Linked DNA regions of Ovis aries. The protein of the gene in region 3 interacts with the protein of the main gene of each other region in a biochemical or structural test. Links are inferred from orthologs where the notes say so. Each region holds a gene or a part of one and is shown on either strand. Other genes may lie near its edges.

Region 1 (3,131 bases), on a different chromosome or scaffold from region 3:
ATGAATAAAATTGGTTATAGAAATCATACCCATGGTATATAGTATATAAGGCATATTAAGAAACCTCTCGCAAATCATAACTTGCTGCTTTTCAGAAAGTTCTGGGTTATCTGTAGTCCAATGTGGTGATCTTGAATGTAGTTAGTTTATTGGTACCTAAAACTTACTGAGATACAATCTGGTCAAAGCAGACTTATGACGGAGAATAGTACCTGTGGTTCGTGGCTAGTACCTTCTGATCCAGTGGCTCCTGCCCAAACCAAAGGCATTTCATTGATCAGATAGTCAATGGATCGCCACATCTAAAGTGAGACAATGATATCACTCACCTATACTATCTAATGGAGAAACTGAAAGATTCTAAGTGCAACTAATACATGTGTTCAATACAACTTCACTGAATGAGTTAAAATAGCAGTAAAGGAGTTTGAAGTTTAACAAGAACAACTTGGAGGATAAAGATTTTAGAACTACATTTCACATACCTGATGGTTTAATATATATGAAGGATCTGTTCTAATAAGTTGTGTTGCTGTTTGCAGTTTCAGAACGGAGCAATTTTAAATGAAACGTATCCAGCTGAATTAAACAGCATGAGTAACACTCAGCCTGCCACCCATCTTCACCCATCAGAAGCCAGAACTTACCCTGATTTGACATCCGGTGGATTCCTGTAATTCCAAGCCCACTCCTCACCTTGGTTTTTGAGTAGTTTGTGAAGCATCACAGAGTAATAAGACTGTCCTTGTTGGATGTCAGCAAGTTCACATGGAGGCATTGATGTACGTGTTATTTTCACTGTTATAAAAACATTAAAATCTGGTTTGTAATAAGAGGAGTTATTCACCTATACTACCATCATTAGAATAGTATGCTGTCACAGAGGAGTGAAATACCATCTACAGTTTACAGTATTCTGAAATAATACCACAGAATATACAGAACCTTTTCAGGGAGATATTTTGACAGTTTTAAATATGAAAATTTTTTCTCTGGTGGAATTACTTCCATCAGATTGAAATAAAATACTTTGTGTTTTGAACTTGTAGATTATTAGTGTACCAAATATGAACTATTTCCTTTTACTCTTAGCTTCTGCTTTTATCTCAGAGGTTAAAACAAATGGTTTGGTGCTTGTATAAAAAGATAATCTCAGTATGCTCCTCCCTCCTTGGTAATGTAAGTGCCTCACACTTTTTTCTACCTATAACACTGTAGGGAGTATATTTTATGTAAAATATATATTTACATAAAATATACTTTTTCTTTTTAAAATTAATAACATTCTGCACACAAATATTATTGGTATTTCTTAAATTCAGTCATTTTTATTAATCTAGGCATGTTTCAACTGCACTACTCACCCACTTTCTTCAGGTAAAGAGCAAATAATGGTTGAAAAGAGAAATATTTATTACTTACTCTAGTTGTTTCTAGATTTTAATGTTGCCGTGTGCCTTACGTTGAAAAATTTTGGAAGTGGAAATATCTTCCTAAATTTTTTTTTAGTTATTGTAAGAGAGCAGCACTAAAATTTCAAGAGTTTTCAGAAGTAAGAGATATATCACCATTTAGCTTTACTAAAATCTCCACCTTAATAGTTGAATGTTGCCCTGTAAAGAATCTGCTGTTAAATGCAACCCTGAGTATTAACTTAAAATGAAGAGAAGCAGCTTTATTTTTAGCTCTTTAATAAGTACAGCACCCATTTCAATATGTATAAATTCTTTAAAAACTGTTTTAGACCTGTAATCCTTTAAAATGTAATATGTTGACTTTATAAATTTCACTTCTTAGTACAGTGGAAACTATTTGTTTTTCTCATATTTGAGGAGTGTTAAGATTAAATATAGCAATGTTTGGTGCAAAGTATTGGTATAAGTGAAAAAATGGTGCATTGTATAGTTTATAATGAACAATGATGTTTGTAAAATGTTTTCAGTCTTTCATTGAAAAATAGTGCATACCTTATATATGCACATAAATAACTTGTTTGGGTCTTAACATATTTTATCACTGTGTCTTTTTAAGTAGCAAATTAATCAGACCACTAATAACTTTACCATCCTTGGGTGACTTTAAAGTGCCACCGTCTGACTTTCTTTTACTTAAATAGGACAGCTGAAAGGCATAGACATGTTTTGCATGTATTATATAAAAACACAATGAAATCCCTAACTGAAATATAGTATTAAAATACTATACTTTTCTTTTTTTAGTAAATCAATGTATATAAAAGTGACTTCAGACACAATAGCTAAGTCAGTTTTATGCATTTTCCAACAGAATTTTGAACCTGGACAATGAATTCAAGTGTTGAAAAAAATAAATTTGTCTAAAACATTTCATAATTTGTTTGTAGCAGGAGGAATCACTAAAGATTTAGACCAGATTAATATTCCACTTTTACATTGAAATCTTTTATGAAAAGTCTTCATCTAAATAATTTTTGTTAGTGTCTTCCACATGTTACTGGATGAACTGTGTAGTGGGGGAAAAACAGGCTTCTAAACTGTATGTGAATATGTTGACGATCAAGTATACACTTAAAAAACTTAAAGCAATATTGTATATTTTTATCTATATAAAGTAACTAAAATTTACCTAATAATAAAATCACATTAAACCCAATACACCTTTGTCTGTATTGTTAAGTGCCAAAGGAAGAATCTCTGTGTAATGCTATTTTGAGGGATTTATTTTTTGATGACATGCACTTCTAAGGACGTGGCTGTTCCTACTCTGATCTTTTCCCTATGCCAGGTTGTTCCTCCAGTACCTGAAGACTTACCAGTGTTCCGGTGTATTACACATAGCTTTTAATCATTACTCTGCACAATCTAGTGTTTTTCAGTGTTACTAAATTTTAGGTAAATGTTTTCATGGGTGTTTTCTCCTTCGAGATGTTACTGCTTACATATGCCATGCATACATTTTTGTTTAAAATATGATTTATAATATCCTTATCAAAAAATTGTATACGATAATTTATGGTAATAAAATAATCACCAAGTATGAATAGTATGTTTTAATGCAAATTATTTTTGGTCCACATAAAGGAAATGAGCACTTATAGTATAGTATTGTAATTATGTCAGATGAAGGCAACCTATAATATTTAAAGATAGGTT
Region 2 (3,500 bases), on a different chromosome or scaffold from region 3:
GGGCCGCTGGAATACCACTTAAGAGCACATAATGTAGAGTGATTTTACTTCATTATCAAGTGTGACTTTAATTCACAAAACATGAGAGTACTTAACCACTTTTTAAACTTTAAGGAGAGCTTATGAAACTAAATTAAGATGAAACAGTGGGGGCAGGGGTGGTGCTCCTAAATCGATCACACTGAGAGCATGCTTGGACTTCATCAAGATGAAGATGCCACAGGAGGAAGTCTAGTAATTCTGCTTCACCCTTTCTTATGACTGAGGCACATTTTTTCTGAAAGGCACTCAACAGTGTTCCCACTTTCGGGCCTACATGATGATTATCTCTTCACACGTCAGCAAAGTTAGGCCCTTTCCTACTCTCCACCCATGTAACACTCATGTTAGCCCTCCCACCTGAAATGCCTTTTACCCCAAACCCAAATCTAATCCAGCTCTCAAGACCACCAAGTGTGCAGAAGAATCATGTGTCCATGCAACAGCCCCTCTTTTTCTAAAATCTTATTTTTATTTTGGTTGCACTGGGTCTTCGTTGCTTTTGTGCAGGTCTTCTCTTGTGGCGAGTGGGCCGTTCTATTGAGGTGCGCAGGCACCTCCTGGTGGCGGCTTCACTCGCTGCAGCACAGGGGCTCAGGAGCTGGGGCGTGTGGGCTTATTCGCTCTGTGGCATGTGGGGTCTTCCCGCGTCAGGGATCAAACCTGTGTCTCCTGCATTGGCAGGCGGATTCTTATCCACTACACCACGAGGGAAGTCTACCCCCTTTCTTTTGATCAACTTTTCCATCACATAAGCTGAGTTTTCATCCTTCTGGTACTTTCTTTCTCCCTTCCAAAAGTCTGGTGCTTTCCCCACAATATTAAATATTAACAACTTTATTTCCTCAGCCTCCTCGTGCCTTCTTCCTTCCTCACTCATATCCCTCCCTCAAAGGCATCTGTATTTTAGTTCCTTCTAACCAAATCTCAGCCACCTGGAGAGGTCCAGTCTGCCTAGTTCATGCACCCCTTCCCTCTTGATGTCTTCCCTAGTAATCCAGACCATAGGAATCATACCTTTCTCCTGTAGTATACACAGGTCTTGGTCAACTAGGCATTTACTTGCATTTTATTACATTATTCAGTTACATTATACAGTTGCCCTGTATGTCTTAATCTTGCCTTTTTGGCAAGATTTTATTCCTCATCATGAAGGTCTTTCCTTTTTATAAACTCTTTGGTGCCAGTGACTGTATTCGCTACAGGAAATAAACTGCTTAAAACACTGATGACATTTATTCTCAAATGATCCTAAACACCTTACTCCTGTTCCCATTTCCAAAAACCCATGTTTACTTTTGCTCTTAGATGTCCACTGTCATGACTGAATGATACCACACCCTGACCGTGACCCCAGGGTCACTGAAATTAAGCAGGCATAGGCGTCACTAAGGTCCCTTAGGAGCCTGGACATTAACCAGATCCGCTAGTCTGCAAATGCCCTGACACCCCGGACATTAGCCATGGTTTTGCTGCTCTTCAAATTTAGGCATAAAGATGCACAACTTACCATCCCTCTAATAGGAACATTTTTCCTGGAAACAATTTTGCCATATGCTGGCCACCCATGAACTCACTGGCTTTACTGCAGTGTATAAACCTGAATCACACTAAATAGTTGTTGTATTTTTGCCAATAAAATCATTGCCAGATGAGGTTTTTTTTCATATTAAAGATGTATATTTATAAATATGATACCTTTCACAAATAAAGGAGATCTAAGCACATCTGAGGCATTTATCCTAACTTGACAAGAATCCCAGACACATGACAACCTTTATTGTTAGCAACACACATTTTTGTCTACTTTACCTTATAATGGAAATTTTCATCTTCAAATTTTTCACCATAAATGCTTTCTCCACCTGTCCCATTCTGATTTGAGAAGTCTCCACCCTGAATCATAAATTTCTTAATAACTGAAAAAAAAGGAAAACCAGCATTAGAAACTACAGTACAGATGACTACAGCAATGTTAACGAATGTGTGACAATAAAGACAGCTTCTCTCCTGCTCTCTCCACCTACACGCACAACTCCAGGCTCTTCAAAAGCCTTTTCCCAATCCAAATCCCCACTAACACTCAGAGAATTAGTTCGTATGGCACCTCCCCTACAACACTGTCAAACCTCAAGACTGGATCTACTAATTTTTCTCCCATAGTACCTTGACTCTACCTTTCTTTTATAATATGGATCATAACAATCTGTCTCTTCTAGCAAACAGTTAAGAACAGCAACACCGTTTTTCTTCCGGGTAACCATGTGCATGGCTGGGCACATAATGGTTACTCAAAAATGCCTACTGAATAAACCAATTATTCCCAAGAGGCCTGTTACACTGTATTGGAATTACTTCTGCAAACGTTATTACTTAACACTGCCACCACATTCAGATTCCCCAGGACTCTGTATCTGCTTATATGACACTCATGTAGTCAGGAGACACAGATGGACGATAAAGGGAAAAGATACGGCAGAGCCTGGAAGAACCCATGTGTTTCCTGATGGGAAAGGTCACAGGGTGCCTTCTTCCCCCAGCCAAGAAAATGCAGCAACACGTGTACAATGTTGCTCCCCAGGAAAGCCCTTGAGGAACTCAGCACCCAAGGTTTCTACAGGGGCTCATCATGAAGGCACTCTCTGCCTAGCAGATACCAAAATTCCACCACATCCTCAAAAGGAAAGCAACTGTTCAGCATAAATCAAACTGAACAGTCTCAGCAGAGCTAGCCACCTTACGATTCAGAGAATGGCAAAGTGCTCTGACTTCAGGCAATTCCACCCTTGCAAGTAGATTTATGACAGCAGTCTCAGGTTTGCAATGTGAACTCTTGTCCACAGACACTTTTTTAGAATACAGGCAACTCCTTGATTTACTGTGCTTTGCAGATACTGTGGGTTTTGTTTTTTAACTTGAAGGTCTGTAGCAATTCTGCATCAGCAAGTCCATCAGTGCCATTTTTCCAACAGCATGTGCTCACTTCATGTCTCTGTCACATTTTGGTAATTCTTACAGTATTTCTAACTTTTTCATTATTATTTGCTACAGTGATCTGTGACCAGTGATTTTTGATGTTACTACTATAATTGTTCTGGCATTTTTTTTAGCAATAAAGTATTAGATTAAGATATGTATTTTTCTCCAGATACAATGCTACTGTGCACTTTAACAGACTATAGTATCCTGCACATATAACTTTCCTATGCACTGGGAAACCCGAACTTTGTAACTTGCTCTCTTACAACATTCACTTTATTGCAGTAGTCTGGAACCAAACCTGCAGTATCTCCCTGGTATGCTTATATTTGGGACTTCCCAAGTGGCGCTAGTGGTAAAGAATCCACCTGCCAAGGAGGAAACACAGGAGATGGAGGTTCAATTCCTGGGTTGGAAAGATCCCCTGCAGAAGGAAATGGCAACCCACTCCAGTATTCTTGCTTGGAATATTCCATGGACAG
Region 3 (4,223 bases):
TTTTGACCAAATTCTTCCTGATAACTTTCAAAATTTTGCTCTGTTGCAACATCTCACGGGAAATGTTCAGAGGAAGATCCTCAGAATCCACCACACCTCTAATGAAATCTGAAACAGACCAAATGCAGCCAGTCACTCCAAAGACAAAAACTGACAAATCCGTAAACCCAAAAAACCAAAGATGAATGATTTTCCCCATGTTTAGTTTAAAAACCAGGAGCTGACAGGATTAATCTCTTAGACTAGTAACAGTGACAGTTTCTTCTATCAGACTATACTTACTCAGGTATTCAGGGATTAGCTCCTCACAGTTATCCATGATGAAAACTCTGCGAACATACAGCTTAATGTTGTTCTTCTTCTTTCTGTTTTCAAACAGGTCAAAAGGAGCTCGTCTTGGGACAAAAAGAAGGGCTCTGAATTCCAACTGTCCTTCAACTGAAAAATGCTATAACAAAACAATCAAGATTAACACAGGGCAAATAACTTGAAGCAATAAAAAATGTCACGTATACCAGAGTTACCTAACAATGACTCTGGGCAAAGCATGGGGCATCGAGGAACAGAATGCAGCCTCCAACATCTGCAGAGAAGGAAGCACTTGGCAGTCACTCACCTTGACCGCCAAGTGGTCCTCCCAGTCGTTGGTCAGGCTCTTGTAGAACTCTCCATACTCCTCGTTAGTGATGTCATCAGGGTTTCTGGTCCAGATAGGCTTTGTCTTGTTCAGCTCTTCTTGATCGATGTACTTCTCCTTGATCTTCTTCTTCTTCTTCTTGTCCCCATCCTTCTTCTCTTCCTCCTCTTCATCTGAGCCAACGTCTTCTATCTCGGGCTTGTCATCAGACTCCTTTTCTTCTTTCTCCTTCTCTTCCTCTTTGTCTTCCTTCTCTTCTGCTTCATCATCGCTAACTTCTTTATCACGTTCCTTTTCCACCTTCAAAGGAGGACAAATCACGTCACCTCTCCACAAAACTGGGGGAAAAAGGCTAAAGGAGACTGCAGCACTTACACCAATACCACCTGAGAAACACTAGTAGCCAGAAAGCTACTCACCCATTTCTGAAGGATCTATTAACAGCCCTGGGAACCTTGACAGGAGTCGACCCACCAGCCCAGGAAATTAGTGCAAGTTTGGATCTCTTATAAAAAGCACGAAGGACTGACTAACAGGATTTCAGTTCAATCACTTTAGTAACCTACATATACAGGATACATGGAAACTCACAAAAAGAGTGATGGGATAGCCAATGAACTGAGAATGCTTCTTCACAATCTCCTTTATTCTCCGCTCCTCCAGGTACTCAGTCTGGTCTTCTTTCAGATGCAGAATAACCTTTGTTCCACGCCCCATCGGTTCTCCTGAAAAGGAAGTCCAGAGATTGAGGCCAATTTCAATCACAATGGCCTGATCAAGGCAAAAAAAAATACTATTTCGCTCTCTAGGACAGTTATCCGAAAAGTCTATGAAGCAGAAGCTTGTGGTTACTACAACTGGGCAGAGTCTCAGGGCAGTTAAGGGCCTTGCCCAAGATAACCAACCACAAGTGCATGTGCATGCTATCACCCTCCAGGCAAACAGGTTTTTAAACGCTACACACAAACTTCACCCCTTCTTTGGGGCTCCAGTGCCTAAAGCACCCCACCCTGTTCTCGGGTGCCTACCTGTGTCAGTCCTCACTGTGAAGGACCCTCCTGCAGAAGACTCCCAGGCATACTGCTCATCATCGTTATGTTTGGTGATGACGGTCACTTTCTCAGCCACCAAATAGGCTGAATAAAACCCGACACCAAACTGGCCAATCATGGAGATATCAGCGCCAGCCTGCAAAGCCTCCATGAACGCTTTGGTCCCAGACTTGGCGATGGTGCCCAGATTATTAATCAAATCGGCCTTGGTCATCCCAATGCCGGTGTCCACGATGGTGAGGGTTCGATCTTGCTTGTTCGGTATGAGATTAATGTGCAGCTCTTTCCCCGAGTCTAATTTACTGGGATCGGTCAAGCTCTCATACCTGATCTTGTCCAGGGCCTATTTAAAAAAAGACACGTGATGACACGCAACTTCCCCCCTAAAACAGTGCCCTTTCACACAAACACCCCACTCCGCAATGAGACTTACGTCTGACGAGTTTGAAATCAGCTCCCTCAGGAAAATCTCTTTATTCGAGTAGAAAGTGTTGATGATCAATGACATCAACTGGGCAATTTCCGCCTGGAAGGCGAACGTCTCCACCTCCTCCTCCTCCATCGGCTGGTCCTGGGCCTGGGTCTCCTCGGGCATCTGCCGGGGAACGCGGAGCCCGTGAGGCCACCGGCCGGACCCCTCCCCGCCGCGTCTCGCTCCCGCTCCCGAGACCGGGGCGCGCGGGAGGCGCCGGCTGACAAAGGATGACCTCATTCCGGGGGCCGGGCGCCGCCGCTGCCGCCGCCGCCCACGCCGGCCGCACGGCCGCCGCTCGGCCCGGGCGCCCCCACCCGCGGCCCGGGGACCCCCCTCCGGGGCCGCAGACCCCGGCCCTCACCATCCCGCACGACCCCGGAGCCCCGGGGCCCACTCGCTCCCGACGGCGGGGGGAGGGCGGGGGGGAGGGGACGGGAGACCGCCGCAGGCCCGAGGCCTACCGGGTTAATCACGGCCGCCCCGGGCCCGCCGGCCTCAGGGGGCTCCGGGGGCTGCCCTCGCCGCCGCCCACCCGCCCGTGGATCCCCGCGTCCCCCTACAACCGCCTCCCCTCACCTTGGCTGAAGGACTAGCACGGGCTCCGCAGCGACGCAGCACCGGGACGCAGAGGCAACTGGCGCGCCGCCCCCGCGCCGCCCTTATATAGAGGCGGGCCCGCCCAGCGCGCGGCGCCTTTTCCAGAAGCCTCCCGAACCTTCCGGAAGAACCCTCCCCAACCGCCGGAGCGGCCGCGCGCCTGCGCCTGCGCACTGGAGGCCGCCCGCCCCCTCCTCGGGGCCGCGCCGCGCGCTCCCACGCCTCAGGGCGCCTGCGTGCCAAGCGTGCCCGCGCCCGCCGCAGTGCGCCTGCGCTATCCGGAGCGTTCCGGCGGGTCTCGCGCCTTCCGGTGCCGCCGTTCCCAGCCCTACCTGCCCCGGCGCGCGGCGTTCTGCGCCCCGCCGGCCTCACACCGCTGGCCCGCCAACCCCGCTTGGCGCGCGTCGGCCTAACGCTCCCCCGACCCAAACCTCTGTCCAGGCCCCGGGGGCTGATCGCCCGTGCCAGCAGCTCTGGGAAGTCCAGAAAAGTAAACTCTCGGTGGTTAAAGCGTGTCCCCAGATAGTGTGCGCTCCGGATCCCCCCAGCATCGGGACCCCCCGACTATGGGCCTGGGGCTAGGTTTCGAGCCTTGAGGCCGCGCTTAGGGGATCAAAGCCGGGGTGAGGGGTCCAGTCCCGTGTCACAGGTATATGCTTGGGGCATTGATCGCAGGCTCAGGTCCATGGTTAGGGGTTTGGGGGGGTCCGGGCAGCGATTAGAGGGTCTAGGGCGCATCTCTGCCAGGGGCAGCGGTTATAGGTTCAGGGCCCTAGGAATTCGGGCAACAAGTGCCTGCCAGAGCCTCGTTAACGCGGAGGCTCAGAGCCCCAGCCTGGTTGTGGGGCGCAGAGGTCTGTGAGCGAGGGGTGACCAGCGTGTGTGCAGGGGGAGCAGAGGGGAACTCCAGAGCCTCGTGGGTCTGTTCGGCTGGTTCTGAACCAGAGGTGGGCCCTGGAACAAACCACCATTCCCCCGCCACTCCAGTATGGGGACTCGTCCTGTCCTTAGGCCCGATTGCGCCCAAGGCAGGGGGAGCGGTGGCGCGGGGAATGTTAAAAGGGGACACAGTCCCGAATTCTCCCGGCCTTTGCTTAGTTCTTTGAGCCTTTGTACCTACTTTGTGCTGTGCTTAGTCGCTCAGTCGTGTCCAACTCTGCGACGGTAGCCCGCCAGGCTCCTCTGTCCAGGGGGATTCTCCAGGGACGAATACTGGAGTAGGTTGCCATGCCCTCCTCCAGGGGATCTTCTCGAACCCAGGCCTCCTGCATTGCAAGAGGATTCTTTACCGTCTGCGCCGGTGGCTTCCCTGTTACCTACTTTGGGTTTGTTTTAAAACTGCATCTTTCAAGGCACTGCAGGCCCTAGTCTGGAATTCTGGGACTTGGTGATCATACATGCTGACCCAGCCCACGCACGCATCATGATTTTGTTAAAAGGCCCATCTCTTTTTACTTATTTT
Region 4 (2,728 bases), on a different chromosome or scaffold from region 3:
TTAGTTCCCCAGCAGGGATTGAACCTACAAATCCTGGATTGCAAGGCAAATTCTTAACTACTGGACCACTAGGGAAGTCCTCTCTTCTTTGGACCTTGTGGTTAAAAATTATTGTGGTAAAAGATGTATACAGTTTCCTGTTTTAGCCATTTTAAGGTCCGTAGTCCCATGGCATTTAGTACGCTTATAATGTCCTGTAGTTGGTCACTACAATCTAATTCCAGAACGTCCATCACCCCAAAATGAAGCCCCACCCCCAATATCGTTGTCTCCCAGCTCCTGACTACCAGTCACCCGTCTGTGGATCGGCCTGACGGTGTTTCCACATCAGTGGACTCAGAAATTCTACGGTCTTATGTGTCACTGGCATGCCCCGGTGTCCCTGGGGGGCAGCACTGCCCCACTGAGAATCACTGTTTTTAAGTCAAAAATGGATGTTCCTGGGAAAGTTGGTGAAATTGACAGGTTACAGTCAGAAGGGTGGGCTCAGGGGGACTTGGGTCCCAGGTAATGTCTCTTGCCAGCAGGGGGGAAGGGTCAAGCAGGGCCGCAGCGGGAAAAGGGGGCTGAGCCGTCTTCAAGTCCAGGACTCTCTTTGCAGCATGTCCGGCATGATTTCAGGCGGCCACAACCCCCTGGGGACTCCCGGCACCAGCCCCTCGCAGAATGACCTGGCCAGTCTCATCCAGGCGTGAGTAGACCTGCCAGGTGGGGCTCCTGGGTGGGGCAGGGTCCAAGGTCCCCGGGTGCTCTGTGGGGCCTCATCCTCCAGGGAGTGGTCCCTCTGCCCTCCAGGGGCACGTCAGGTAGGGAGAGGCGGCTGGGTGGGTGCCTTGGACCTGGCTGAGCCCAGGCACGCCTCCCCTGCCCCCACCTGCAGGGGCCAGCAGTTCGCTCAGCAGATGCAGCAACAGAACCCAGAGTTGATAGAGCAGCTCCGCAGTCAGATCAGGAGTCGGACTCCCAGTGCCAGCAATGATGACCAACAGGAGTGACCGCCCCGTGAGTCCCCGGAGCTGGGGGGCACCTTGGGCCCTCAGGTCTCTTGCCGGGTGGGCCCACTCAGGTGTTTCTCCCTCCAGCCTGCCCAGCGCCATCGGGTCCTTCCCGGCCTACAGGAAGCCTTCTTGACCTTTTCCGTCTCCTCCCATTGGATCGCCCACGAGAGAAAAAGAACTTGGACCTGCATGTTAAGCCGGATTTTTATGATGTTTACTTTTACTTCCTCCCCTCCCTCCCTTTTTATACTCTCTCACGGCCCCCAGATCCTTCTTGAAACAGAGCCAGCAAGCTGTGAGTGCAGACCAGCACCCGTCTCCCTCCTGGCCCCCTGCCCTGAAGACCTGGTCACTAAAGTATTTTCTAGAACATTCTGAGGTGGGGGTGGTCTTCTCACCGCTCTCCGAGAAGTGGCCTGTGGGATGCCGTGGCCCCGAAGCCCCTTCTTCAGCCCCCGCCTGCCTTCCCAGTCTGTCTGCAGGGCCTCCCAGCCCCCGAGAAGCCGCTTTCTGAGTTGACCGTGGCCTCCCTGGCCACCCCTGCTCAAGCGAGCTCACTGCCAGCCAGCCCGGCCCAGCAGACCTGGGTTCTCAGACAAGGAACTCCAGTTGCAAGTGCCCCAGAGGCAGTTTCTGCGCCCAGCGGGGGCCGAAGCAGACGTCTTGGGTGCACACAACCCATTTCTGGGACTTAAATTCCAGTCCAGTGCTCGGATGGACTCGGGTCTGATCGCCATGCTTTTCCCAGTGCTTACAATTGACAGACTGTGAGGGGCCTTCTCATGACCTTTGAGCTGGCTCCTGAGCCTGTCGCAGCCTGGCTGTGTATCCCAGCCACTGCCTTCTGTCCACAGGTGGTGGTCCTGCTGGCCTGGCTTGCCTGCATCCTCAGCGGGCTCTCCTCCTGCTTGGGGGTCAGGGCTATGGGGGTCCCTGATGACCACCTGCCTGGGCCTGAGATCACCGGGCAGCCACTGTGGATGTCCCTGCAGCCCAGGGCAGGGTGGAGAGGGTCCCTGGCACCGCAGCTCGGGCCACAGTGTTGGTGATGAGATCGCTGGAGGCTCCCTGATGGTGTCGGGTCCTGTGGGAGGTGACACCGTACCAGTACCGTGTGTGTAGGTAACTCGTAGAGACAGCCCCACACACATCCCACAAGGCGTCCTAACTCATGAGTGCTACCATGATGACGAGATAACGTGTGGGGAATAAATAGACATCGTGATCTCTGCTGGCCTCCATGTGGACCTCTCAGTGCCACTCTGCCCCCACCCCCTCACCTCCCAGAGCTTCCTGGAACCCCCAGTGTGGACCCTGCATGGGTCACCCTGAACCATTGACCCAGGTTGTGTGTGCCTTCCCTGTCACCTTGAAGACAATCTCACAAATTTGGTGGCCTTTAACTACACACAGTGTCTCCATCCTGGAGGCCAGAAGTCAGACTGGGGACCCCCTTGGGCTAAATCCAGGTGTGGATGGGTCTGGCTCACTCCCTGTCCAGAGGCTGACGTGTGGTGTAGGTGCAGGGGGTGTCAGGCCTGCACTCGACTCCCCCGGGTCGCTGGGCTGTGGGAATGCTTTGGGGCCATACCACTTTCTTTGGCCGTGACCTCTGTGGCTTCCAGTGGGTGTACTCAGCCTCTGGTGACCTTGAGCTGCTCTGTCCTGCTGAGGACCTCCCCATGTTCCCTGCCACTTGGATGGTGGCCAGTAGGTCACAAAGGAAGTTC

The links. The genes of interacting proteins can lie anywhere in the genome.
Region 1: the proteins of HSP90AA1 (region 3) and AHR form a complex in vitro, tested with the Homo sapiens proteins (2 studies listed by BioGRID). The link is inferred for Ovis aries from reciprocal best matches to the Homo sapiens genes HSP90AA1 and AHR.
Region 2: the proteins of HSP90AA1 (region 3) and PPID form a complex in vitro, tested with the Homo sapiens proteins (2 studies listed by BioGRID). The link is inferred for Ovis aries from reciprocal best matches to the Homo sapiens genes HSP90AA1 and PPID.
Region 4: the proteins of HSP90AA1 (region 3) and SGTA form a complex in vitro, tested with the Homo sapiens proteins (2 studies listed by BioGRID, with this or other methods). The link is inferred for Ovis aries from reciprocal best matches to the Homo sapiens genes HSP90AA1 and SGTA.

The regions. Positions count from the first base shown.
Region 1 is NC_056057.1:26,828,841-26,831,971, forward strand, and holds the end of AHR (aryl hydrocarbon receptor), read left to right. Parts: exon of another isoform or gene 1-542; coding exon 543-677; 3' UTR 678-2,631; downstream 2,632-3,131. UniProt on the Homo sapiens protein: Ligand-activated transcription factor that enables cells to adapt to changing conditions by sensing compounds from the environment, diet, microbiome and cellular metabolism, and which plays important roles in development, immunity and cancer.
Region 2 is NC_056070.1:40,515,355-40,518,854, reverse strand, and holds part of PPID (peptidyl-prolyl cis-trans isomerase D), read right to left. Parts: intron 1,959-3,500; coding exon 1,852-1,958; intron 1-1,851. UniProt on the Homo sapiens protein: PPIase that catalyzes the cis-trans isomerization of proline imidic peptide bonds in oligopeptides and may therefore assist protein folding. Proposed to act as a co-chaperone in HSP90 complexes such as in unligated steroid receptors heterocomplexes.
Region 3 is NC_056071.1:64,574,006-64,578,228, forward strand, and holds the start of HSP90AA1 (heat shock protein HSP 90-alpha), read right to left. Parts: upstream 2,801-4,223; 5' UTR 2,741-2,800; intron 2,285-2,740; coding exon 2,123-2,284; intron 2,033-2,122; coding exon 1,666-2,032; intron 1,363-1,665; coding exon 1,229-1,362; intron 938-1,228; coding exon 617-937; intron 449-616; coding exon 283-448; intron 109-282; coding exon 1-108. UniProt on the Homo sapiens protein: Molecular chaperone that promotes the maturation, structural maintenance and proper regulation of specific target proteins involved for instance in cell cycle control and signal transduction.
Region 4 is NC_056058.1:18,712,602-18,715,329, forward strand, and holds the end of SGTA (small glutamine-rich tetratricopeptide repeat-containing protein alpha), read left to right. Parts: intron 1-601; coding exon 602-691; intron 692-880; coding exon 881-995; 3' UTR 996-2,228; downstream 2,229-2,728. UniProt on the Homo sapiens protein: Co-chaperone that binds misfolded and hydrophobic patches-containing client proteins in the cytosol. Mediates their targeting to the endoplasmic reticulum but also regulates their sorting to the proteasome when targeting fails.